4 linked regions of the Tribolium castaneum genome follow. The protein of the gene in region 1 binds, or shares a complex with, the protein of each later gene. Links are inferred from orthologs where the notes say so. Each region holds a gene or a part of one and is shown in the gene's direction. Other genes may lie near its edges.

Region 1 (6,764 bases):
AGAGAAACGTAAAGATGATAAAATCGCGGAATTGGAGGAGGATATCGCTGACGATGAGTATTTGTTCGAGGAGGAGATGTGAGTTGGTGGAATGATTTTGCGGTAAATGCCAACCTGAGGTTTTAGATTAACAGAACGTGAGAAAAAGGAGCGCGACCGTAAGCGGGAATTGCTGCGGTTGGCACAGGAACATGAAAAAGCGCGTGAATTGGAAAGGGTGCAGCGGTACCACATGCCCAGGGATTTGGGCAAGGGGTCAACAGCGGACTATGTGGAAGTTGATGAGCTGGAAAAGGTGCCCCAGTCGGAGCAGAAGAAATGGGAGAAGGACCAAATGGCGTCGGCGGTCTTCAAGTTCGGGGCCAAGGATTCAGCCAAGAAGGACGAGTACGATTTGTTGCTGGAGGACCAGATTGACTTCATCCAAGTCTTGCAAATGCCAGGTCTCTATTTTTTATAGTATCTTATGATACTTCGTCCCAATAAATGGAACATTAATTGCGTCATGAGCCATGAAGTAACAAAATGATAATTCGTAAAAATTAATTCTGAAAAAAAAATTTCGTATCTTACAAAAGCACAAAAAGCAGTAATAACGTTTCATTTGAGAGAAGGCTAATTAATTGAATATTAGCAAAAGTATGTAGTTTTGTTGGCTAAACGAAAAATTGAGGACTAGAATATTTTCATAAAATTATTACGGCAAAAGAAAATAATTTACTATTTGATGTCTCACAGAATTTTTATTGGAAGAAAATAGATAAAGAATCGTCCAAAATAAGTCAATTTCGGCTAGAATACGGCTTTTCAGCCACTTCTCAAAGAGTTTTCTCGTTTCTAAGCAAGAAATTGTACAAAATGAATGGTTTTCGTCCGAACTAGTGCATACACCGTTCTTTTGAGCTAGAATAAGGCGTTTTCAATCTTCTTTTATGCGTTGTTTTTTTGTTTTTAAGCAAAGAATCGCCAGAAATAAACCGTTTTCATCCAAATTATAACATAAATAGTTGTTTGTTTCCGGCTAAAATAAGCCGTTTTCAACCACTTCTCAAAAAGTTTTCTCGTTTGTAAGCAAAAAATTGTACAAAATGAATCGTTTTCGTTCTAACTAGTGCATAAACCGTTCTTTTGAGCTAGAATAAGTCGTTTTCAATCTTTTTTTATGCGAGTTTTTTGTTTTTAAGCAAAGAATCGCCAGAAATAAGCCGTTTTTATCCAAACTATAACATAAATCGTTGTTTTCGGCTAAAATAAGGCGTTTTCAGCCACTTATACAAGAATTTTCTCGTGTCTAAATAAGAAATTATACAAAATGATTTTTTTTTTCGTTCTAACTAGTGCATAAACCGTTCTTTTGAGCTAGAATAAGGCGTTTTCAATCTTCTTTTATGAGAGTTTTCTCGTTTTTAAGCAAAGAATAGCCAGAAATAAGCCGTTTTCATCCAAACTATAACATAAATCGTTGTTTTCGGCTAAAATAAGGCGGTTTTCAGCCACTTCTCAAAGAGTTTTCTCGTTTCTAAGCAAGAAATTGTATAAAATAAATCGTTTTCGTCCAAATTAGTGCAAAAAAAACGTTCTTTTTATCTAGAGTTTTTTCAATCTTTCGTTTTTAACCAAAGAATCGTCAGAAATAAGCCGTTTTTATTCAAACTAAAAATAGAGAAAAGACAAAGTATTGACTTGCATTTGACCTTTTCAGTTCATAGTAGGTAGATTTAATTAAAATAATTGCTCTGTATTTCTAAAAAGTAGGCATTTATTTTTTTATTTCTCTGTAATCTTCTTACAAGAACCGATTTAGCACCTGTTTAAGAATCATTTGGATACTTTTTCATTAAATAAGTAATTTATAGGTAAATTGTATTGCTGTTTGAATGCTCTCAATTGAAAATATTAGCTTAATAGTTCCATGACAAATAGTTAATGTTGAACTATACTGAGAACGTCTGTGGAGGAGCTGTTCAAATAAACACATGAACGCAAAATTTGAAATAAAATGTTTAAGAACAGTAATTTAAAAATGGTCTTTACGTCACAGATCAGTTTTTATCTTATTTTAAATATTTGTACCCGAGATTAAATAAGTTAAAGTCGATTTATTTTTCTATAAAAAAAGTTACCTTCAAACCGCATGAAAAAAATATCGCAATGAGAATTTTATTTACTAAAAAATGGTAGATGCATAATTTTTTTATACAGGATGCTCAAAAACTGGCGCACCAATTTAATGGTACGTTGTTGAGCAAAATTCGTTAAAAAATTCCTAATCTCATATTTTAGAAAGTCTAGAACTACAAACGTATTTTGTTAATGTCTTCAGTTTTCATTATTTTTTAATGTTTTTATGTTTCTCACTAAGTAATCGTTTCTTAATAAAATAATGATTAATTATTTTTAAATTTACTATCAGACTTTAGCAGTTTTCTGAATTTAAAAAAAATTAAATAAATCAAAAAATCACAATTTGTAGATGTGTCAACATTGGGCATTATTTCCTAGGAAACCGTTTCAAAAATAATTAATTTTTATTGTTGAACAAATTCTATTGCGATCACGACTATTAGACAACGTTGCCACATATCATTTATTTAAAATTCGGTATTTATCAATAACTGTAATACAAAGAATTTTTTACTATTTTTACCTTTATATTTAAGCATTTCTCTACCGCACATCATTGAATTGGTGCGCCGGTTTTTGAGCACCCGGTACATTTTTTAGGGGTATTAGGATTTTAAAACGATGAGATAAGAACTAGTCTGTGAGGTATTAAATTGGCAAAATTGTACCAAAATAATCAATAAACAGGCACACGAGAGAAGAAAGAGCCCGAACTAACCGAAAAGGAAAAAAAGAAGCTCGACATCCAAGAAACGAAGAAAAACCTCCCAGTCTACCCGTTTCGCGACGACTTGATCCAGGCCGTCCGCGAGCACCAGGTCCTAATAATCGAGGGTGAAACCGGCTCTGGAAAAACAACCCAAATCCCGCAGTACTTGCACGAAGCCGGCTTCACCAACGACAATAAAAAAATCGGCTGTACGCAGCCACGCCGTGTCGCCGCCATGTCGGTAGCGGCCCGCGTAGCCCAAGAAATGGAAGTCAAACTCGGCAACGAAGTCGGTTATGCGATCAGATTCGAAGATTGCACATCCGAACGTACAATCATCAAATACATGACCGACGGCACGCTCCACCGCGAATTTTTATCCGAGCCCGACCTGCAGTCCTACAGCGTCATGATCATCGACGAGGCCCACGAGCGGACGCTACACACGGACATTTTGTTCGGTCTGGTCAAAGACATCGCCCGGTTTCGCCCCGACTTGAAACTGCTGATTTCGAGCGCAACGCTCGACGCGCAAAAATTCTCCGAGTTTTTCGACGATGCGCCCATTTTCCGCATTCCAGGCCGGAGGTTTCCGGTGGATATTTACTACACTAAGGCGCCAGAGGCCGATTATGTGGACGCGTGCGTTGTTTCCGTTCTACAAATTCACGCGACTCAACCGTTAGGGGATATTCTTGTTTTTTTGACCGGTCAGGATGAGATTGAGACGTGTCAGGAGTTGTTGCAGGATCGGGTTCGCCGGTTGGGCTCCAAAGTCAAGGAACTGATTATTCTGCCCGTTTATGCGAACCTGCCAAGCGACATGCAAGCGAAAATTTTTGAACCGACGCCTCCAGGGGCCCGGAAAGTTGTGCTTGCGACAAATATAGCGGAGACTTCTTTAACGATAGACAATATAATCTATGTTATTGATCCCGGTTTTGCCAAACAAAACCACTTCAATTCGCGGACTGGGATGGAGAGCCTGATTGTGGTGCCAATTTCGAAAGCCTCGGCTAATCAGAGGGCTGGGAGGGCTGGCAGAGTGGCGGCCGGGAAGTGTTTTCGTTTGTACACCGCCTGGTCCTACAAGCATGAACTGGAGGACAATACCGTGCCGGAAATACAAAGGATTAATTTAGGCAACGCTGTACTGATGCTGAAAGCGTTGGGGATTAACGATTTGGTGCATTTCGATTTTCTTGATCCGCCACCACATGAGACACTTGTTCTGGCACTGGAACAGTTGTATGCTTTAGGGGCGTTGAACCATCACGGGGAGTTGACGAAGTTGGGGCGCAGGATGGCGGAGTTTCCGGTTGATCCGATGATGGCCAAAATGTTGTTAGCTTCGGAAAAGTAAGTTTGGCTTTTTGTGTGGGTTTGTTACTGTTTGCTTTTTGCAGATACAAATGTTCAGAGGAGATTGTGACTATTGCGGCCATGCTTTCGGTCAATGGGGCGATTTTTTACAGGCCCAAGGATAAAATTATTCATGCTGACACGGCACGCAAAAATTTTAATCACATAGGGGGTGACCATCTGAGCTTGTTAAATGTGTACAACCAGTGGAGGGATTCCGATTATTCCACCCAATGGTGCTACGAGAATTTTATACAATACAGGTGATTTCTCTTATTTTTTCTGAAATCTGCCATAAAAGAAAAATAAAATAAAGAAAAAAGAATGAAAATGTTTCAAACTAACCGGTTCATCTTCAGTACTTTAAAAAAATTAGAAATATAAATTAGAAAAATATAAATTTCAAGTTATCTAGTTGTTGAAGATACGTAAATAATTGTGCTTTATTTTGTTGTAGATCTATGAAAAGGGCTCGCGATGTGAGGGAACAGTTGGTCGGTTTAATGCAAAGGGTTGAAATCGACATGGTGTCAAATATAACCGAGGCTGCAGACATTAAAAAGGCTATAACCGCCGGTTATTTCTACCACATTGCTCGGTTATCCAAAGGAGGGACTTACAAAACCGTTAAACATAATCAGGTTTTAACACCAAAAAAATTATAGTTTTCTTTGTACTGAGAGAAATTGTTTCAGAGTGTCACAATACATCCCAATAGTGCCCTTTTTGAGGACTTGCCAAGATGGGTTCTTTATCACGAGCTGGTTTTTACCACCAAAGAGTTTATGAGACAAGTTATAGAAATCGAGAGTAAGTGGCTTTTGGAGGTTGCACCTCATTATTACAAGCAGAAGGAACTGGAGGATTCTACCAACAAAAAAATGCCAAAGACTGTCGGGCGTAGCACCAGAACTGAATAAAGATTTTTTAGAACCGAAAGCTTTTTATTATAATAATGTAAAAAATTGAAGAAGTAAAGCAGTTTGGTATTGTTGGAAAAAATTCTTATTTCTTCTCATGCAAACAATAGAACAGTAAATAAATTGCTTGTAAATGCAAAAGACACTATAGAAAAATAAAAATGTATTAGTGATAATACAATATACAAATATAAGTGTAAATACTTTACTTTTGTAAATAAAATTACGAAATCGAAATAATTTGTTTTTATAAAAAAAGACAATGAAAATAATAAACTAATCATAATGAGATGAAAATACTGAAAGGCGATAATAAAATAGCTTTTCTCGTCTAATTATTTTTTGGTTTTACCAATTAAAAAAGGGCATAAAAATATATAGCCCTTGTGACTAGTATTTATTCATAAATAAATTTATAAAATCTCCAAACCTTCACTGTTTTTCATGGCCTTTCATGTGCGTCCTCAGGGCGCTGCTCTGCACATAGGCCTTTTCGCAGAGCTCGCACTTGTACGGCTGCTCCCCCGTGTGTATCCTCTCGTGCACTTTGAGCGTGGACTTTTCCCCAAACGCTTTCCCACAGTGGTTACACAAAAACGGCTTTCTTCCCGTGTGTCTCCACTTGTGCGAATTCAAATTGCCTTTTGCAATAAACCTCTTATTGCAAATATCGCACTTGTACGGCCTCTCTCCCGTGTGTACCCTAACATGGACCTTCAGTTCGGCGGCTGAACCACACTGCTTGCCACACTCGGTGCACACAGCATTCGGGGGCTTCCCCAGCCCTAGATGCTTCTTCTTCAAGTGGTTGTTGAGATGTACTTTCGTTGAACACACTTTTGAGCAGAAGTTGCACAGGAAGTTGTTGTCAGTGTCGTGGATTGCGTCGAAATGTCTTTGCATTGCTTCTTTAGTGAAGAAGCTTTTGTCACAACCGGGGCAACAGAACGGTTTTATGCCGGAGTGTTTCCTCACGTGGGTGTCTAGACTGCCGGCTGAGAGCAGGAATTTGCCGCAAATGTTACACTGGTGTTTCTTTTCACGCACTGTGTGAATTCCCAGGTGTTGTCTGAGGATGGCCTTGGTCCCGAAAGCCCGTCCGCAGACTTCGCATCCGAAAGGTTTCTCCCCTGTGTGGCTCCGTAAGTGGTCGTTTAGACTCGCTTTTGAGTAAAACTTTTTGCTGCAAAGAGCACACTGGTGGCGCCTGTCGTCGTAATGCCGTTTCATGTGTTCTGACAGCACTTGGGTTGTCTTGAAGGCCTTATCACACTTGCTGCAAACGAACGGTCGGGAATTATCATGCGTTCTGATGTGGCGATTGTACGAATTGGTGGTGAGACATTGTTTGTGGCAAATTTTGCAAACTAAATCTTCGCGTGTTCGTTTCTTTTTTGACTGAGAGTCAGTTGGGGTGTTCACTATTTGATTACTAGACTCATTGACCAAGAAAGTGCTTTGCACATCTTTACTATTGTTGGCTAAAGTATTGAAAGCGATATTTACATCAAACACACTTGGGGGAATGTCCACTTCGTCTTTTATTGTGTTTGTTAATTCATCATTTTCGAGTTTTTTGTTTCTTCTCTCCAATATCCATTTACCGACTTCAAAAGACCGAACTACTTGCTGTTTAAAGAGGTACCAAC
Region 2 (6,391 bases), on another chromosome or scaffold:
ACAAACCAACCCTTGAAACAACCACAACCACCATGACTCTAAACCTAACCAAGGAAAACCGCATTTACAAGAAACTTTTCACTTTGAAACCCTCCCAAAGAGACGGGTATTGGGCCCTTGCCCCTTGGACCAATTAATTGCCCTGTTTTCAGCTTAGTGCTAAACATCCACCACACCGACAGAAACGCGCAGAAGATCCGCTTTCTCAGTTGCTGTTTCAGCAAAAATGGTCAAACACTGGCCTTGGCCGACTACGAGGGCAACATCTTTGTGATCGACTTCACGAGCACCAAATTCTGGAACATCCCAAAATTCACAAACACTTGCGTTATGGTCAAGTTTTCGCACTTCAAAGAGGGCGAAATTTTAGTGGGGGCACATTGTGGCGCTGTGTACGTGGTTGAGGCCCAAACTGGCTTCGTCTGCGGCCAGTTGAGGGGCCACCAGAGCCCTGTTAATTGCATGACGTTTGGTAGTAACTTTTTGTGCCTCACGGGGTCCACAAGTGAGGCGATTTTGTGGGACTTGAACACCAACAGCAAGCTGCAGGTGCTCAGTTTGCAGCACAGTTGCGCCCTGAAATATGTACGTCTTTGCGATCGTTAGAATTAATTTGATTTCGAAAATTCCAGGTGTGCTTCATTCCCGTTTCCTCCTATATTTTGACATGTTTCAACGACGACGTGATCCAGATCTGGCAGTTTGGCACGTTTGAGATGAAGACTGAAATACCACCTCTGGTGTGGTTCAACCACGAAGTGAAAAACATCACGTTCACACAGTATGACGATGGTTTTTGTCAATTGTTTTTTTATGTTTTTTTCAAGGGACGGCAAAGTGATGGTGATTGGTTGCCGCTCACCACACCTCGCCCTCTTCCTACTCTCGAACTTCAAACTATTTAAATTTATAACATTGCCAGAACACATCCAGTCACTGAAACACATTGATTTCATCCCCCAGCCAAACGACGCCGGCTCGAATAAAATTTTAGCCATTTTATCAGGCCGTGGCACTGTTTATTTCTACGACAGCCACCAAAATGTTCTAATGAGCGAATTAGTTGCAAATTACGAAATTTCAAAATACGATTTTTCGGCGAGTTATATGGCCTGTGTTTTATCGTCCGGTGACGTCAATATCTACGATGTGACCCAATACGTGGTTGTGCCACTCAAACTGAAGGCCGTTCGGGCAGAAAGTGCGCGAAAAAAAGTCAAATTGAAGCGATGTTTGGAGAAAATGGGCATAGTCAAGGAGCAGGTGAGTTGAGGCGGACCGCAGACTAAACAACTTGTCAAATTGTCAGATTAGGGAGATTCTCGAGATTGAAAAATTGAGAATGATATTGAAAGAGTGTGGCGAGTTTCCCGATTCATACCGGACCAAAATTTGGGAACACTTGTTGGCACTTCCCAATAATAGGGAGCTCTACAATGGGATTATCAACCACCGAATGATAGTCTCATTTGAGGATTTGTGCCGCAAATACCCGCTTGAAAACAAGCGAAACCTCAAAAACCTCAAACAACTGTTGGATAATTTGGTCACGTGGTGTCCCTTCTTCCTCAACGTGGATTATTTGCCACTTTTTGTGTTCCCCTTTGTCAAGGTTTTTATTAACAAGCCGTTGACGTGTTTTGAGGCCGTTTGCACGATAATTTGTAAGTGTTTTTTTATTCAATGAGCGGCAAAATTATGGAATAGTCTTATTAAAACTGAAAATATTTAAAATCTCATTGTTTTCAAACTGTTTTTGCTACAACAAAATATTTCTAATTAAGATTTTTCCATATTTTTGTTGATCCGGCTCGAAGGACCACACTATGGGTACTGAGTGAATAATCGCAGTGAACTGGTGTCAATTCTGGTTCGAGTACTTCCCTCTCCCTCCAATCAACATACTTGCGATGATTGAAAACGTCCTAATGGTACACGACCCCGAACTTTTGGACTTCCTAACCAGAAAAAAAGTCTCTTCCGAATTGTACGCATGGCCGATTTTGCGAACTGCATTTTCCGAGGTTTTGACAGCGCCATCCTGGAAAATTTTCTGGGACCATGTTTTAACAAACGAACCTTCGTTTCTACTGTGTGGAGTCGTGGCTTACAATATTTTACAACGAACCTCCATTTTGAGTCTTAAAGACGATAAACAATTTCGGTGTTTTTACAAAACGCATCATCCCATAGATGTTAAAAAATTGCTAACGAAAAGTTACCACATTTTGGCCAAGACGGGCGAGGCCGTGCACCCACGGCAATATTTGAACATGTTCAAGAAAATTAATTTGGGGGAATACCCCAATTTTTGTGATTACCCCAAAACCATGATCGAGATGTCGGATAAAGAGGCCGAGATGAAGAGAGAGATGGCGGGGTTGAAAACAGACGAGGTTGATTTGTTCAGACGCCGATTGATTAGTTTGGAGCGGTTGCAAAATTTCGAAGTGGAGGAAGAAGAGAATAAGCGAATTTTGGGTAAGTTTTTGTACATTTTTTGGGGTTTTAATTAAATAAATTGTCAGAAATGGAACGCGCGATTCGTAATCAATTGTTGGAGGAGCAAACCCGTGTCCAGGAGTACTACGAAAGGGTGGCCAACCTGCGCGAAAAATTCCACCAAGAAGACAAAATTTTGGCCTCCTTAAGACACCAAATAGCGAAGGAACAGCAATTGAAAAGCCGCCGAAAATACCTATCGTCGATTATGGACGATGTCAGGTTCCGAAAAGGCGAGAAAGGTTACGCCTTGACCAAGACCGAGGACGAACTCCTCTTCCACTATGCCGAACTTTTGAAAAACAAGTACAAAATCGAAAAGTTACTAAACACTGATGAAGTTGTCACAAGTACAAAACTATCAGTTGATCAACAACAGGAACAATTATCGAACGAAATCAATTTTGTGCGGAGTAGTGAAGAGCCCCGCAAACATTTGAAGATGTTAAATCTGACAACGGGGCTTGAAGCCATGGATGCTCTAATCGAAAAAGTCGAAAGTGAGCTGGAAAAACAAAAGAGCGGGAGTGACAGTGATGCCGATCGACGCGTTGTCGCCCTGCAAGCGGAAAGCAAAGAGTTGGCGTTGAAAATTGCCAATTTAATCGAGCTACTTGCCAATTTAAGGAGTGAGGAAGTGGGCGGATAGCACAATCAATTTTATTATAAGTTGTATCGTTTCTATTTATACGTTTTATGATCTCATATGCACCTGTGATATGTTTTTAAACGGCAATAAATTTACAAACCGATGTGAAGTCGCCTTAATAGTTCCAGCCGCGGTGTGAATGCACCTTAACGCAATTAACACAAACGTCAAACGTACGTCAAATACCTAACCTATTTTTTGAACATTTGTTTTATTTGTATTTGTTCATGTTTTTCGGGGTCAGAGGCCCCACAATCACGCACCATGAATCCGTTAACGTAAGTATTGTCGATTTTTTGCCCCAATTTTGCGAAGTTGTCTTTCCAGGAACATGAAAAATGTGAAGAAACTGAGCGAACAGGAGCTCTACACCGGTAATAAAACCTCCTGGCATGACCAATACAGGGACAGTGCGTGGGTTTTCATCGGCGGTTTGCCCTTCGACCTGACCGAGGGCGACATAATTTGCATTTTCTCGCAGTATGGCGAAGTGGTGAACATAAACCTGATCAGGGATAAGGACTCGGGCAAGTCAAAGGGCTTCTGTTTCCTGTGCTACGAGGACCAAAGATCGACCGACTTGGCCGTTGATAATTTCAACGGAATCAAAATCTTGAACAGGACGATACGAGTCGACCACGTCAGTAACTACAAGGTGCCCAAACAGGGCAAGAAAACGGACGCTGAGACGAAGAAACTGTACGATGAGGGCTGTGCCCCCAAGGCCGTCCCTGTGCAAGTTCCTGTCAAAGCGCCAGTGAAGATTAAAACAGACCCTGACGATTTTCGCGAAACACTGGCCGACCAGATTAATTCTGAGATCAAGTTGCCTGAGCGCTTGCCCATTTACACGATAAAAAAGGAGAAAGTGGACGAGGAGGCGCCGCCGGAGCCTGTTGTCACGAAAGAGAAGAAGGAAAAGAAACACAAGAAGGAGAAAAAGAAGAAGAAGAAAAAGAAGTCGGACGAAAACAGCAGCGAATCCGATTCAGATAGGAAGAAGAAAAAGAAGAAGAAGGGCGAGTCAGGGTCGGATTACTCCGCTGAAGACAGCGTGTCAGAGGACGAGGATAGGAGGAAGCGGTCGCGGAGTCCGAATAAGAAAAAGCGCTGATTTACTAACATCTATTTACAGCTCTGTGCTTCATATCTTCATTATCAGTAAGCTCGTCTTCACCTTGCGTCACATTGACATATTTTTTCAAAATGTGGGAGACACTCCCTAGACCATTATTCTCCAAATAATATAGCGAGAAGTGTGAAACTCCCGTGTTAATTATTCGAGCCCCTCCGAGACACTCGCCATCTTTCGACAAGACAGCGAACTGTCCCGGAGTGATGGCCCTCTTGTACCTATTCACTTTAATAATCAGTCCTTTACTTGTTTGGCACACCTGGCATTTGACCCAATATTTGGTGTGTTGGAACTTGAAATCGCACTCCAAAACCCCGTTTTGTAAATCAGGGGGCTGTGAGTGGATCCAGTGGGGCTCACTGGTCAAAATTATGTTCGTGTAAAGTAACGGGTGTTTTGTCCCTTTGACTACGTAAATTATGTTCTTGTCTACGTCTTTCCGGGCCACGAAATAAGGGCTTTCGTAGCTGTGGAGGCGCGCCCTTTGCCCCAAAGTCCACTGGTGCACCCCATTGTGTTGACCCACGACTTTCGCAGTGTCAACGTCCACGAAATCGCCCGGTTTATCATCAATATACTGAAAAAAATGTTTAGTCAAGTGACCAGTGCAAAGCTTCTTTGACCAATGACAGGCCTCCCTTCACCTAGAGGGAGCCACGTTAGTGCTTGACTACAATATTTTTTTTAATTAAAAAAAATTTATAAAACTTCGAAAACAACAAAAATTAAAGTAAGAAATAATTGGCCAATCACGGAAGCTGTGAACTAATCACTTACTTCTCTAATAAAGTCTTGAAATTTGCGATTGCCGATAAAACAGATCCCCATACTCTCCTTCTTCCTTGCGATTTTTTCAAGTCCGTTTTCCCTTGCAATTTTTTTCACTTCCGGCTTCATTAAATCGCCCAATGGGAACATTGTACGTTGCAAAGCTTCTTGATTGACTTGGCACAAGAAGAACGTTTGGTCTTTGAACCAATCAACTGCGTTTAGTAGTCTTACCCCTGTTTTTTTGTTGTAATAAATTGTTTTTTTTTTTGACTGGATACAGACCCTTTTCCGGGTTATAATGTTCAAGATAAGACCCGAAACTAGTCCTTGCGTAATGTCCGGTCGCGATAGCGTCAGCCCCTAGCTCATTTCTCGCGTATTTGTAAAAATAATTAAATTTAATGTTACGATTGCATAGAACGTCAGGGTTTGGCGTGTTGCCGGTCTCATATTCTTTGATTAAATTGCTGAAATTCGAATAATGTCTTTTTTGGCGGGGAATTTAATTATATACCTAAACACTTCGTTCCAGTAATGTTTGACAAAATTGACGTGAGTTAGTTTAATGTCCAGTTTGTCACACACTAGAGCAGCGTCTTTGTAGTCAGCGTCAGCCGAACAGTAGCCCTTTTCGTCCGCAATGTCCCAGTTTTGCATGAAAACACCCTGTATATCATAACCTAGAACTTTGACTCGAATTTATTCGAATTTTTTGACGTGATTTACCGCGTTTTTTCAATAAAAGTGCCGCAACGGCGCTATCGACGCCCCCAGATATGCCCACGACCACCTTTCGGATGTTTAACATGCTTTTTTCGCCGTTTAAAGGAACATAACCAACAAAATTCGACAAAAGTCAGCGGTAGCACAACTGGGTTGATCAGCGGTAACAAGCGAAAAAATGCGCCAAAACGGAGATCACGTTTTAATAATTATTTAAATTATGATTTGTTTAGAGTGTCCAATAACAGGGAAACGATATTCATTTTTGTAATCTTGTACGTAAAGTGCAAAAAAAACCTAATGGGCGCGGGTGTAATGTTGGTTGCATAACATTATTTTTTAAATTACAATATTAGAAAAACCGCACTGTAGACTTGTCGTTGCACTTGATAGATATTAGAAAAGAAACAGGTGATAAACTGTCAGGTTGATGGCAAAGCCTTGTTGACGATTTAATAAATGTTTCCCAAAAAAATCCAGAACTGCCAATTTAAATTGCCACGAATTTGCGCATGGTGTCAGAGTTTGAAGCTTTAGATTTGGTAAAAAAACGCAAATCCACCCCTGTGTTCACCCCCATGGCCTTTTAGGGGGCATGTGTGGGACACCCA
Region 3 (5,886 bases), on another chromosome or scaffold:
ACGACGAGGACGAGGAAAGATATCACGATGTCAAGGACGATGAAATTGAAATTAAACAAGAAGTTAGTAAAATAAACAATAATAATAATTTTAACAAAGAACAAATCTAAATTAATTATTTTATGTAGGATGAAGAGGGAAGTGGTGACGACATAAAACCCGACGTTTCTGTTTTAAATCATGCGATTAAACCAAGTTGGGATCATTGTGCTAACTCATCCAAGAAGGAAAAATCACCGACTTACAATGCTTTAAGTCGTAACCCGCTTTATGCAGGTGGCGATTTTTGCGCCTACACTGAATTATTTGACCTAAAAAATCATTTTCATCCAACTGTTGCACTATACGCCACAAACATATTGGATGGTATAGTATCCAAAAAAAAAAATATTTGAAATTTTGCATTGTGTTAATTTTTCTAGGAAATATAATTAAATATTCAGGGGATCCCTTAAAAGATTTTACACTGATCAGATTTTTGGATAGGTTTGTTTTCAAAAATCCGAAAAAATACGAAGAGGGTACAGTTCAAGGAGCGCATCCAACGTTTGGTAAAAGAAAATTGTATCTTCCTAAAGGTTTAAGGTCATTGCGTGTAAATTCAGCAAATTATTTGAATGAAGATTCGAAAAATATTCCTGTAGATGAGATGTTTATGTATAGGTAATGTTTTTGTGTGGGGTTGTTTTAAGGAAACATGTCAAATTTTGTGTTTTGTTTAGTTATTTACGGAAGAAGTACCACGACAGAGAGCAAGATTTTGGTGATAAAAGCGATGAGGATGATAGTGATTTGGAGTCGGTTCAAAGTGAGGAATTTGAAGAAATGTTGGAGAAAATGGCTGGTCTTCCTAAGGATGATGAGGAAGATTTGGACTTTTTGAATGATGTTGGAGATAATCTTAAGACTAACGGGAAAAGCCAAAAGGATAAAAGTATGTTTTTTATTTGCGCTTCATTATATACTTTTTATGATTTTTATCAAAAATTTATAATCATGCAGAAATTAGAGACTGGTATTGAATACTTTATTTTTTCTCTATGCATGCAAATATTTTTACAACTTTTCTACAATTCCGTCTAAGTTAAATTAATTAATTAGTAATAATAATATTAACTGAAAATATATTTATTATTTTTTATTTCTAATGACATTTTGAAACAAAAACTACATTAAAAATTGTCTCTAGTCTTTAAAAAAAAACATTAAAAATTACGTTTAGCTCACATTTGCATTTGTAAAGTAAATGCCAATTAAATTTTTTAAGTTCTAAAGTTGCAAAGATTTTATTCTTTGTTTCGACTTTATTCCAATTGTTACAACTTTAAAGTTATGTAAACTTCAGTGAAATATTTAATAGTAATGCGACGGTAAAAAAATCATTATATTTGACTTCAAGACTTGAACCATTAATAAAAAAATGTCTCTAAAATGTAAAAAAATGTCATGGAAAAGGAACCATGTTGATTTGAAAAACACATTTTTTTGATATTTTTCTACTTAGAATCGTAAATTTTATATGGTGCATATTTTATTGAGCTGCTATACTTTGTGTTAAAGTTTTGTGTATTTTTTTGTTAAAATTGTATAAATATTTTTCATTAAAACTTTTTTTGCGGCGCAGTTTTATAAGTGCTTCATTATTTATATTTTATCTGAAAACAGTTAGTCGATTGAAAATTTCGACCTTTTATGTTGTGTACTTGTGTACTTTTACCACATTATGGAAAATGTTTCAAAAAAAATAATTACAGTCGAACTTCGATAACTCGAATAATTGGTAACAAATTGGACCGAAATTAGCTTTTTTACGTTGAATTTTTTTCCACACCATTCACACTTTGAGTTAGCAACAATTTTTTATGTATCTTTTGCACAAATCAACTTTTAAGCATTTGTTGTCTTAGAATGTTATAAGAAGTAATAAAAAAAAATGTTTGCACCGCACAAAATATATTAAAACATATTTTCTGAACTTACCTTTAAATTTTAATTTTAAATTTTTTTTTAGTTTTTTTTTTTGAAAACACGAATGTTCGGTAACTCAAAATATACTTTTTCAAATTATTGTGTATGTTATATCAAGTAGGTTGAGGAAGTCTAAATATTTAATTTAATTTAATGACCGGAACAACATTATTAATAACAAAAATCTTTTTTTCTATATTAATTACTTTGTTAATTTTAATGAATTCTTTTTCTACCTCAGAAGCTTGAGTACACGTATTTATTGGAAAGAATAATTATAGAACAGATTAAGATTCATAATTAATATAAAAAAGTATATTTTGCTGACAACTGCTAATTTGTAGAAAAGAATTGTAGAAAAATTTTGAAAAGAATTACATAGATAAAAAAAATTAAATATTTATTAGCAAACGCTGGAAACCAGACAGAAATGCCTAAGTTTGTTGTAGATTAAGTTTACAAAAATAATAATAATCTGAGTGATCAATGATTTTAAATCTAAGTTGGCCACAATAACTATCAAATCTAAACGTTAATTTTTGTACTCGATTTTTAAATTTCACCTACAATTTATAGTACCAATAATAAAAATAAGTGTTGCCAACTTAATTTCAAAATGTATTTTGCTCTGTTTTCCAGAACGGACAGATGATGATGATAGTGATGACGATGATAGCGAGATGGAGGATGCTTCTGACGAAGAATTGTCAATGGACGAAGATGAAGATTTCGATGAAGATGACCTTGAAATGAACGATGATGACAAAAGTATATTTTTTGTAATAATAAAACACAAAATTATCCTTTGCTTGCAGTGCTTCTGGGTGACTTAGACGACGATGAAGACGAGGAAGTTGTTTTTGACGATGAAGAACCGAAGTCAGCAAAATCAAAGAAGAAAAAATCCAAAGACACAAACTCAATATTTGCATCAGCTGAAGAATTTGCCTCATTGCTTGACGATGAAGGTAGTTCGAAAATAGCCCCAGGAAGTTCAAATGCGTTATCAAATAAGGATAATGCGAGCACTAAACAACTTGCCTGGGAACAGAGTAGAAATAGGTGGTTGAAGGGATTTGATGAAGTAGTTGGCAAAAAGAAAAATAGTAAAGGTAGCAATTTTGGCAAGAAAAGGAAAGGTCCAAATAAATTTAATAATAAGGCAAAGAAGAGGAAGAATTAATAATCGACAAGGAAGCAGTCGATTGCATTTTAATTAATATAATTCTTTACGAATCCACCAGTTTTGTGTTTTATTTAATTCGTGTTGGTTGTATTTCGCGAATATACAACTACACATAACCCATAACCTAACTTTTCGTGACGTTTAACAGTACGTTCTGTTTATTATCTTCGTGTTTACAATTTCGTACCAAATTCACAATAATTATCGTGTTTTGTGAAAATGGTGTGCGAAAAATGCCAAAAGAAGTTGGGCAAAGTGATAACACCAGATCCTTGGAAAAGTGGGGCTAGAAATACAACTGAGTCAGGGGGTAGGAAAGTTAACGAAAACAAGGCTTTAACAGCTAGCAAAAACAGATTTAATCCATACACGTCCAGTTTTGAGACTTGCAGGTTTGTTAATGCAAGTAATCCTTAAAATTGATTTACTCTTCTCATGTTTTTATTGTAGAATATGTAGGCAAAAGGTGCACCAGGTTGGGTCACATTATTGCCAGTCCTGTGCTTATAAAAAAGGAATTTGTGCGATGTGTGGTAAGAAATTGTTGAGTACGAAGAATTACAAACAATCGTCAACTTGAACTACATTTTGTGTGTTACTTTTAAACAAAATTAAGCCTATTCTAAGTTTTAGAGCAATTTGCATTGTTTTGTAGGTACTGTTAGGTTTTCTGTCTGTATACAGTGAGTGTACGACAATTTAATTATCTTGAATGATAAGGTGTGTAATTATATTTAATAACTTATGACAAAAGTTTTTTATTTCATTTTTATGATAACATTTTTAACTTATTAATTCATTTCTACCTATTCTATCCCTATTTCTTTTTTGTTATTAAGGTTGACTATACATTATTAAAACGCAACTATCAAATATTCTAGAATTATTATTTGGACTTTTTTATAAACTAAAAAACTGTACCTGTAATATTATTTCCACAAAGTTAAAATACGATTTTGTCTTATTGCACTAAAAAAATAATTGAAAAAATTGATGTCTGTCGTATTATTAAATACTTCTAAAAGTGGCTACACTGTATATAACCTTTTAGAAATGAATTTCAGCGATTGGATTTTAAAAATTCACTTCCCTGTATATAAAAAAAACGTGACGAAGTCGTAACAAAATTCAATGAATCAGACAAACCTCTTTGTTTTCCACCTTGCAGTAATTACTTATCTCAGTGATTATATTTTTTGTTGGTGACGTTTTATCCATACACTTACACAATACTGCCGTTTAATTTTATTCAGTTTGGTTCTTGCTTTTGACGCAAACGGACGTAAAATTAAAATTTTCCAGTTCAAAATTTCAAATTTGTTGTGGGTAGTGATCGCGGTTAGTGTGTGGTATTGTAATGGATTTCCAAGAAGAAAGGGAGGAAACTACCCGGATTAAAGGGTTAGTCTGCAGTACCTACATTCTTTTTAGAAAAATTACATTAACTCTGTAACATTTAATTGAACCACATTGTTCTTATTTTATTGTTTTTTATTTCACAACCATTTTAACAGATAGGGCACTGCACACTTTTTTAGATTTCATTTTCAGTTTTTACAAACAGTATTACCAGAAGTGAATTTTTCTTGACAGGAACTTAGTACCAGTCAAATTTTTGCAACTTACAATTAGAACCACATTTTTTAAAGTTTGAAATACAAATTGATGACGGACGGGACAAAAAATCTTGTGTGTGAAAACATCTCTAAAAATTGTATTCATACAAGTTTTAATTATTAAAGACTTTAGCAATATTAAAATTAGACAATGTAAATTAAAAATTTTTGGTTTTGTTTAACATCGTAAGAAATAAGAATAACATGTAATGTTTGCGATAACGGACGGGACACCAAAAAATTATATAAAAAGCAATTTTTTCACTGATTTTCATTTTTTAAATGACTAGAAACTAGAAAAATACTCTTCAAAAATTATTCAACAGTTGCATTATATCAGTATTTTATGTTATAGCCTAAAAGGCATAGTATCTAGGTATGTAAATTTTAAAATCCAATACTTCAATTTAAATGTTTATCCTCTCCCAAAAATGTTTTTGTCGCAAAATACATTAAATATAAACTGCATCGTGTACAGTGAAACCTCTTCACAACGGACAATTTTGTAGGAGCATAATACCTATATTAAAATTCTCCACTTCCCATAAGTGGACATCTCTCCACAACGGACAGTCCCTCATCGGTGTCCGTTGTTGAGAGGTTTTACTGTAGGTACCAAAATCATTTTAAAATTTCGGTGTTAAGTTACATTTTTCCTGGAATGGCTGTTCAGTATGTTTAAACAATAAATTATAACAGAACAAAAAACGCCATAAAGGCCAGTTCACTTTAATTTTTTTCTATTTATTGCCAATAAGTGAGGTGTTGAAAAAAGTTTGAGTACAACATATAAAAAAATACACTAAGTAAAACTAAAAGTAAAATGGTATTAATAAAAATAAGCATTAAGCAATTTACTTATTAAAATTAATTTTAATCCAACATCGAGGTCGCAAACTTTTCTGTAAATATGAACTTTCAAAAAAAATTATATTATTATGGTTTTACTGAACAGAAAAAAAATTGCATTAGCAAATCTTTAATTTTGTATTAATATTGAAATGCCTTTATTTGTCCTTTTAGAAATTCGTGAATTTTACTAAGAGACGATTTAACCTAAAACTCTTTAGAATAATGCATACTGTCACATATTAATAGGAATGCCTCAATTTCGCG
Region 4 (5,932 bases), on another chromosome or scaffold:
GTTTTTCTATCACACCTTCCCATAATAATAAAAGTTAATCCCACAAATATTACAACTTCTTTGATTTACGTGTTGTTTTTTCAATATTTAAATTTTAGTGCTTACTTTTTTGCAATAAAAAATGGACTTATGATAATATTATTGTTGTTTACGATAAATAATGGCAGTAATTATGGAGTGCGGCAAAAAAACTCAAACATATCAGAGCAGATTTAATCTGATTTGTATTTAAATCTTTCTGATTTGGCAACACCGGAGAGTCGAGGGCAGTGTACTCAAGAACCTGTGCAAGAGATTAAAGCCTACCTTCGTTTACCTGGTCAGAGCAGGATATGTTTGAGACCAGTTCCATTATAACTCTATTAAAGTTGTATGGCAAAGAAATATCGAAAATTTAATTGAAATTAGGGCATTATTCGTGCTTTAAATGCTTGCATATTTAGAATAAAATTATTGTTAGAGGTGTTGTGATCTTGCATCGAAATTACCATCGAATTTTGTGTTCGGTAAGTTTATATTTTGTTTTATTAGAGTGGGGTTTTTGTCAATGGTGCGCCGTGTATTTGCGCAGCAGCGACTTAAACATAAGCCGGCTTAATGGTACGATTTTCAAATAATCAAGATATTTGGTCGAAATATTTACAGTGTTCGAAATGTTTTTAGCTTAGGATGGGATCTCGAGTTGGAGGATTTAATTCAGCTGGTTTGCCAGCTGATAAAGCTTTAGCGGGGGTTCCCCGATTGTTGGATGATTTGCAGCGCCTTTCTGAAGACACGGATTCAGCAGACATTGTTTTTATTCTTGGGAGAGACGAAGAACGTGTGTACGCACATCGAGTAATTCTTATGGCCAGGTGAAAGAATTTTTCTAATTACGTCCTTAATAAATCCCTTGTGCTTGTTATTTTTCAAGTTTTTCAAAGCTGTTGGTCTTATTTTGTCGTAATTAAGGCTTATATAATGAGAAGATGATCAAGCAAGAACAAATTGTTGGACTTTATAAAAGTCTGAACTTTTACAAAGTTGCAGAGACAAGGAACTATGGTTTCGCGCACCTCTCATTAAAACATCAAAGTTGTTTGCACCTTTGTTCTTATCTACTCGTAACTTTATTGCTCCACTCATATAATGACGCTAATAATAAGTCTCTTTCTCTATCTCAACGACTCTTGTTTCTGATGTCTAATTGGATATCTTTCGAAAATTGCTTTGATCCTGTGAGTCCACTATTGTGAGAGAGCACCTACACGCGCTGTACATTATTATGCATTTTTCTCCAAACGCATAGATGCATAAACTCATATGCCTGAGTGGCTGACGGCGGCTCAAAGAAACAACTAAAATGTAGCTAATGGAAACGTCTTTGTATCTTGAAGCTAATTATTTCATTCTTCAATATTCCGCTCAGATGCAAGAGTTTTCAAACGGCCAAACGCGGTGAAGTGTGTCGTATTCCGGGATGTTCTGTTTCTCCAGCAGCCCCAGGAACACCCACACCTGTGCGTCTACCGCAGGCGCCTCCTGACACTTTCAAGCAGTTCCTCCTTTATGTGTACACAGGAAAGGTTGGTATAAATTACCGATTATTTGTTTATTTTATACTGACAATAAAGACGTTTGCCAGATACTGCTGCAAGACAGTGGAGTTTTCGAAATGTTGGCGCTTGCTCAAGAACTGGGGGTTGATGAATTGAGAAATGCTTGCGAAGATCATGTCACTTCAACCTTGTCTGTTGCTTCAGCCTGCACTTTTCTGGCAGCTGCGATGGACATACAAAATCGGTCCCCAGGTAAGTGAAAAATTAATTCAAAATTGCTCAACATCAAAAACTGTAATTCTAAATAAATTTGAGATTAAAAACTTACTAAAGAATGGGTAAGTATAGAGGTATAAAGCTAATGAAGAAATAACTAAAAAAGAAATAGTGACCTAATAGTGCACTTAGAGTCGCCCTGACTGCCTATAGAGACGCTGTATCTCTATGCCATTTGAGCATTTGAAAATTGGGAAAAAACACTCAACCCCTATGCACAGATTTCATATAAATGATCCTTTGGTCCTTTGGGATCGGCTAGGGCTCATTAACATCAATTTTGTATCGTTTTGGCATTAATTTTGAGATTTTTCTCGCCTAATTCTAGTTTTTGGGGCTATTAAGACTCAAACAACACTTTACACTTCATCACAGTTTGGAAAATATAAATAATATAAATAAAAATAATCTCCGGTGCAAATAAAAAAATTAAGGTTCAAAGAGGTTTTGGGCCGCAAAGGTGTAGCACTTACCTTACCCAAATTGAAAAATGTGTCTTTTGAGCCGGTTTTTCCCCGAGTATTCTCCATAAACACAGTCAAGGGGCAGGTCGTTGTGCGCATCGCGCCAGGTCACAGTCTGCGCGCCCGCACTTTCAAATTCACAAATATTCCACAAAAACAGGTGCCCCACTTTGCATTTTTGAACCACCCAGTCCAAATAATCACTAGTTTCGTTCGATTTTCTGAGAGATAACAACACTGACTGACAATCACGCGATGACAACTGTTAAAAGCAGCATCCATTTGGTGCAAAGTCAAAGCACTCTTGGCAATTTTTTCTTAAGTGTGATTTCAGGCATTTATCTAACTTTTTGAGCAAAATAACCCTTCCTATTCAGTAAAGAGTTGATTTAAATGTCGTTTCACATCTTTATATCGAGTTTATAGCTTGTCGTTTTTTTCTTTAAAGTCACGTAAAATTATCCCGCCAAAACCAAAATTGTGTCATTAAGGGTAACAATGACAAAGAAAGACCTATTGACGATTGTGTGTGTGTAAGACACGGCGCAACTCCTCATATTAGCTATTTCAAAACTATAAAAACGCCAACCTCGTATTTTCTCTCAAAATTAGTTGTTATAAATTATTTATGCACTTCAAAAAACTAATAGGTAATGTTATTTATAGTCTCAATGATTTATTTATTAATAACTATTTTACATTTTTATCAACCTTATTAAAAAAAAATTGAGTTTATGAGACACCAAGTTCAAAAAAAATATATAAAAAACTATCACGTCAAAGAAAGCTAAATGAGAATAAAAAAAATTTTTTTCGAGACATTTACGCCCATCTGATGATAATTATGGAATAACTCAGCTTGATTAGTTAAGGAAAACCCAAAATATAAATTGTGCGACTATAATTCTGCGTGAATAATTTTGGAAAAAAAATGGGACGTTGGTGTTTTTATAGTTTCGAAACAGCCTAAAAACGACCAAACCACCAGACCTTTTTCTGGTGTATTTCAGCTCGTCAAGCTTCCCGCGTTCCACGATTGCCAACAGAATACAGAACTCACACAGATAACCTTACTTTGGTCGTATTGTAAGCGTCGCCTCATTTTTTAAGTTTTATAAATACTATTGCAAACTTTGAACAAGTTTTTTTCTCTTAATACGAATAATTCGTGCTGTGTGAAAGTGTGTTTGCACTTAGCTTCCTTAAAGAACTTTTTTTGCCGGTAACCCAAGACTCCTCTAACCATGGCGTACAAACCACAAAAAGTTCAAAAAGTGATGGTACAACCCATCAACTTAATTTTTCGTTACTTACAAAACCGTTCACGTGTACAAGTGTGGTTATACGAGAACATTAATCTGAGAATCGAGGGGCACATTGTGGGTTTTGATGAATACATGAATCTTGTGCTGGATGATGCTGAGGAATATTACGTTAAAACGAAGAACAGGAGGCAGCTGGGAAGAATCATGCTTAAAGGAGATAACATAACGCTGATACAGAACGTGAATCCTCAATCAGGCAATTAGTTGTAAATTGTAGCGTAATTCTAAGTTTCATAACAATTTTTTCATTCGTTGGAGTAATGTGTTTGTATGAAAACCGCAATTGGTCTTAGTATTAAGTGATTCATCAACTTTCTGTAAAAGAAATGCGGACATTAAAATTATTTTAGTAATTATGTCTATTTTTATAACTTCAAAGTCCTTAAAATTAAAATGTGATGGACAATACAGGTAATTATCGCTTTTTTAGAATTGTGAAGCTTGTAGGTGTTCCAATATATTTTTTTTGTAGGGGGTAAAGCTGCGACAGGTTTTGTCGAACGTTGCGTCAGCTACATTGGCGAAAATGCTGTAGAATGTGTAAAAACAAACTCATTTCTTTCTCTTCCCAAAGAAGCAGTCTTAAAATTAATCTCCTCAGATTATGTAAGTTTTAAAATTTTACTTAAAATCATTTATTACTGTTTCAATTTAGCTCTGTTTGGAGGAAGAGGATGTCTGGAGAGCAATTTTAAACTGGGCAAAGTACCAAGCTGGTGTCACCCAACCCACAGCCCATTGGACTGAAGAAGAGAGGGCCAGAGTGTGCCAGCACCTCTCACATGTCATTTCTCACGTCCGCTTACTTCTGATTGGTAAATTAAATTTTTTTTTTCTCTTATTTATTTGTAATATTATAGACAGCCAAGTTTTTGCCGAAGAAGTTGAACCAACTGGAGCCGTTCCAATGGAGCTCAGTTTGGAAAGGTACAGACATGCTGCGCTTCCTAGTAAATATCCTGAAGGAGCAGAGGACCAGAGACTGCGTCCAAGGGTATCACCTCACTTATTCCCGGGTTCGCTAATTCTGGGTCAGGATAAGAGTCACTACCAAAGGGTGCTCAATGCCTGGTTCGGTAATCCCAAGCAGAGTTGGAGACTTATTTACAGGGCTAGCAGTCATGGGTACTCTGCATCGGCTTTTCACAGACACTGTGATGGGATTTCGCCCACTTTTGTCATAGTTTTGGTAAGAATTTTGCGATTTATTTTAGCTGAGCCGTGAATAAAAAAAAACACGTACGCATACATACATATTTGCTTAGCGCTTTGTTGAAAAAGCCTCCATAGTTTGTCCTCAAAAAATAATCATGTATTAATCTCAATCATAAAATACAATATTTGTTTTTGTAAAAAAAATGTATTATATCACTGGTAGAAAGATGATTCACTGAATTAATGGTTATAAATAAGAGAGAATAAATAAACCATGGGCAGATCAAGATCTACAGATATGTGAATGAGAAAATATAAAAAATAACTGCTCTATTTTTATTTAAAAATTGTTTAGCATCCACGATTTTATCTCTTGGTCAGTAATAAAAGTAAAAGCAAAAGTATTGGGATTTTTTTTCTTCAAATTATTAATTTAGTAATTCATGTATTCTTAACGTTAACGACGTTGATAATTAGACCAGGGGTTAAAAACTTTGTTAAAGTTTAATTTATTTTAAATGTTTTCAACAAAAAGTATGTGATTGTGAATAAAATAGTACAGTATTTGTACAAAATTTGGTGGTAATGACTTTTAAAACAATTTGTTTTGTAATAAAAATTATTAGTAAAAATGGTGGATGCGCTGGGACAGATTATATTTAACCTGGGGTTAAAGCTTGGTAGAATTCTATTTTATTCATATGTATAAATAATAAATAAAACAATGGCACTGTGGTAAGGGCTTTTAAAACATTTTATTTTTAATTAAAATTATTTTCAAAAATGGTGGATGCGCAGGGACAAATATTACATTCTTTTAAAATTAATGAATTGTTTTGTTTACCATTTTATAAGAATGTATTGTTGTTTCGATTGTACGAGTTTGTGTTCATTGCTTATGAATAGGGTCCAAGGGGGGAAATCTGTGGCGGGTTCAGCGACGCAGCTTGGGGGCGCCCACCAGGCAAAAGCCACTACGTGGCCTCAGAGCGGGCTTTTCTCTTCACGCTTTACAACCACCAAGACTTGCCACCTACACAGTTTCATCTAGTGAAGAAACCATTTGCCATTTGTTACCACCCAGAGTATGTATATTTCATCTGACAAAAAAGAGGGATTTTACAGTGTTAAAATTAGTTCAGGGCCGATTTTTGGGGCTGGCGCTGATCTCCTA

The links. The genes of interacting proteins can lie anywhere in the genome.
Region 2: l(2)37Cb (region 1) and RNA-binding motif protein, X-linked 2 share a complex: the UniProt entries of both Homo sapiens proteins name them as parts of the minor spliceosome. The link is inferred for Tribolium castaneum from reciprocal best matches to the Homo sapiens genes DHX16 and RBMX2.
Region 3: l(2)37Cb (region 1) and cysteine-rich PDZ-binding protein share a complex: the UniProt entries of both Homo sapiens proteins name them as parts of the minor spliceosome. The link is inferred for Tribolium castaneum from reciprocal best matches to the Homo sapiens genes DHX16 and CRIPT.
Region 4: l(2)37Cb (region 1) and SmE share a complex: the UniProt entries of both Homo sapiens proteins name them as parts of the minor spliceosome. The link is inferred for Tribolium castaneum from reciprocal best matches to the Homo sapiens genes DHX16 and SNRPE.

Annotation. Positions count from the first base shown.
Region 1 is NC_087398.1:7,192,153-7,198,916, forward strand, and holds the end of l(2)37Cb (pre-mRNA-splicing factor ATP-dependent RNA helicase DHX16), read left to right. Parts: coding exon 1-78; intron 79-126; coding exon 127-443; intron 444-2,811; coding exon 2,812-4,192; intron 4,193-4,239; coding exon 4,240-4,458; intron 4,459-4,652; coding exon 4,653-4,836; intron 4,837-4,890; coding exon 4,891-5,115; 3' UTR 5,116-5,134; downstream 5,135-6,764. Other genes in the region: zinc finger protein OZF, read right to left, coding at 5,548-6,764. UniProt on the Homo sapiens protein: Required for pre-mRNA splicing as a component of the spliceosome. Contributes to pre-mRNA splicing after spliceosome formation and prior to the first transesterification reaction.
Region 2 is NC_087396.1:22,563,570-22,569,960, reverse strand, and holds RNA-binding motif protein, X-linked 2, read left to right. Parts: upstream 1-3,276; 5' UTR 3,277-3,415; coding exon 3,416-3,429; intron 3,430-3,478; coding exon 3,479-4,265; 3' UTR 4,266-4,269; downstream 4,270-6,391. Other genes in the region: TBC1 domain family member 31, read left to right, coding at 33-106, 153-585, 633-781, 828-1,263, 1,310-1,664, 1,852-2,481, 2,529-3,151; mitochondrial tRNA-specific 2-thiouridylase 1, read right to left, coding at 4,270-4,863, 5,064-5,290, 5,340-5,524, 5,572-5,737, 5,784-5,865. UniProt on the Homo sapiens protein: Involved in pre-mRNA splicing as component of the activated spliceosome. As a component of the minor spliceosome, involved in the splicing of U12-type introns in pre-mRNAs.
Region 3 is NC_087394.1:8,403,640-8,409,525, forward strand, and holds cysteine-rich PDZ-binding protein, read left to right. Parts: upstream 1-3,256; 5' UTR 3,257-3,373; coding exon 3,374-3,546; intron 3,547-3,604; coding exon 3,605-3,734; 3' UTR 3,735-3,910; downstream 3,911-5,886. Other genes in the region: Noc1 (CCAAT/enhancer-binding protein zeta), read left to right, coding at 1-62, 129-366, 423-663, 723-934, 2,608-2,736, 2,784-3,151; ras-related protein Rac1, read left to right, coding at 4,512-4,555. UniProt on the Homo sapiens protein: As a component of the minor spliceosome, involved in the splicing of U12-type introns in pre-mRNAs. Involved in the cytoskeletal anchoring of DLG4 in excitatory synapses.
Region 4 is NC_087394.1:32,139,512-32,145,443, forward strand, and holds SmE (probable small nuclear ribonucleoprotein E), read left to right. Parts: upstream 1-3,305; 5' UTR 3,306-3,522; coding exon 3,523-3,807; 3' UTR 3,808-3,956; downstream 3,957-5,932. Other genes in the region: kelch-like protein 21, read left to right, coding at 670-854, 1,409-1,565, 1,625-1,790, 4,076-4,209, 4,259-4,418, 4,464-4,792, 5,665-5,843, 5,896-5,932. UniProt on the Homo sapiens protein: Plays a role in pre-mRNA splicing as a core component of the spliceosomal U1, U2, U4 and U5 small nuclear ribonucleoproteins (snRNPs), the building blocks of the spliceosome.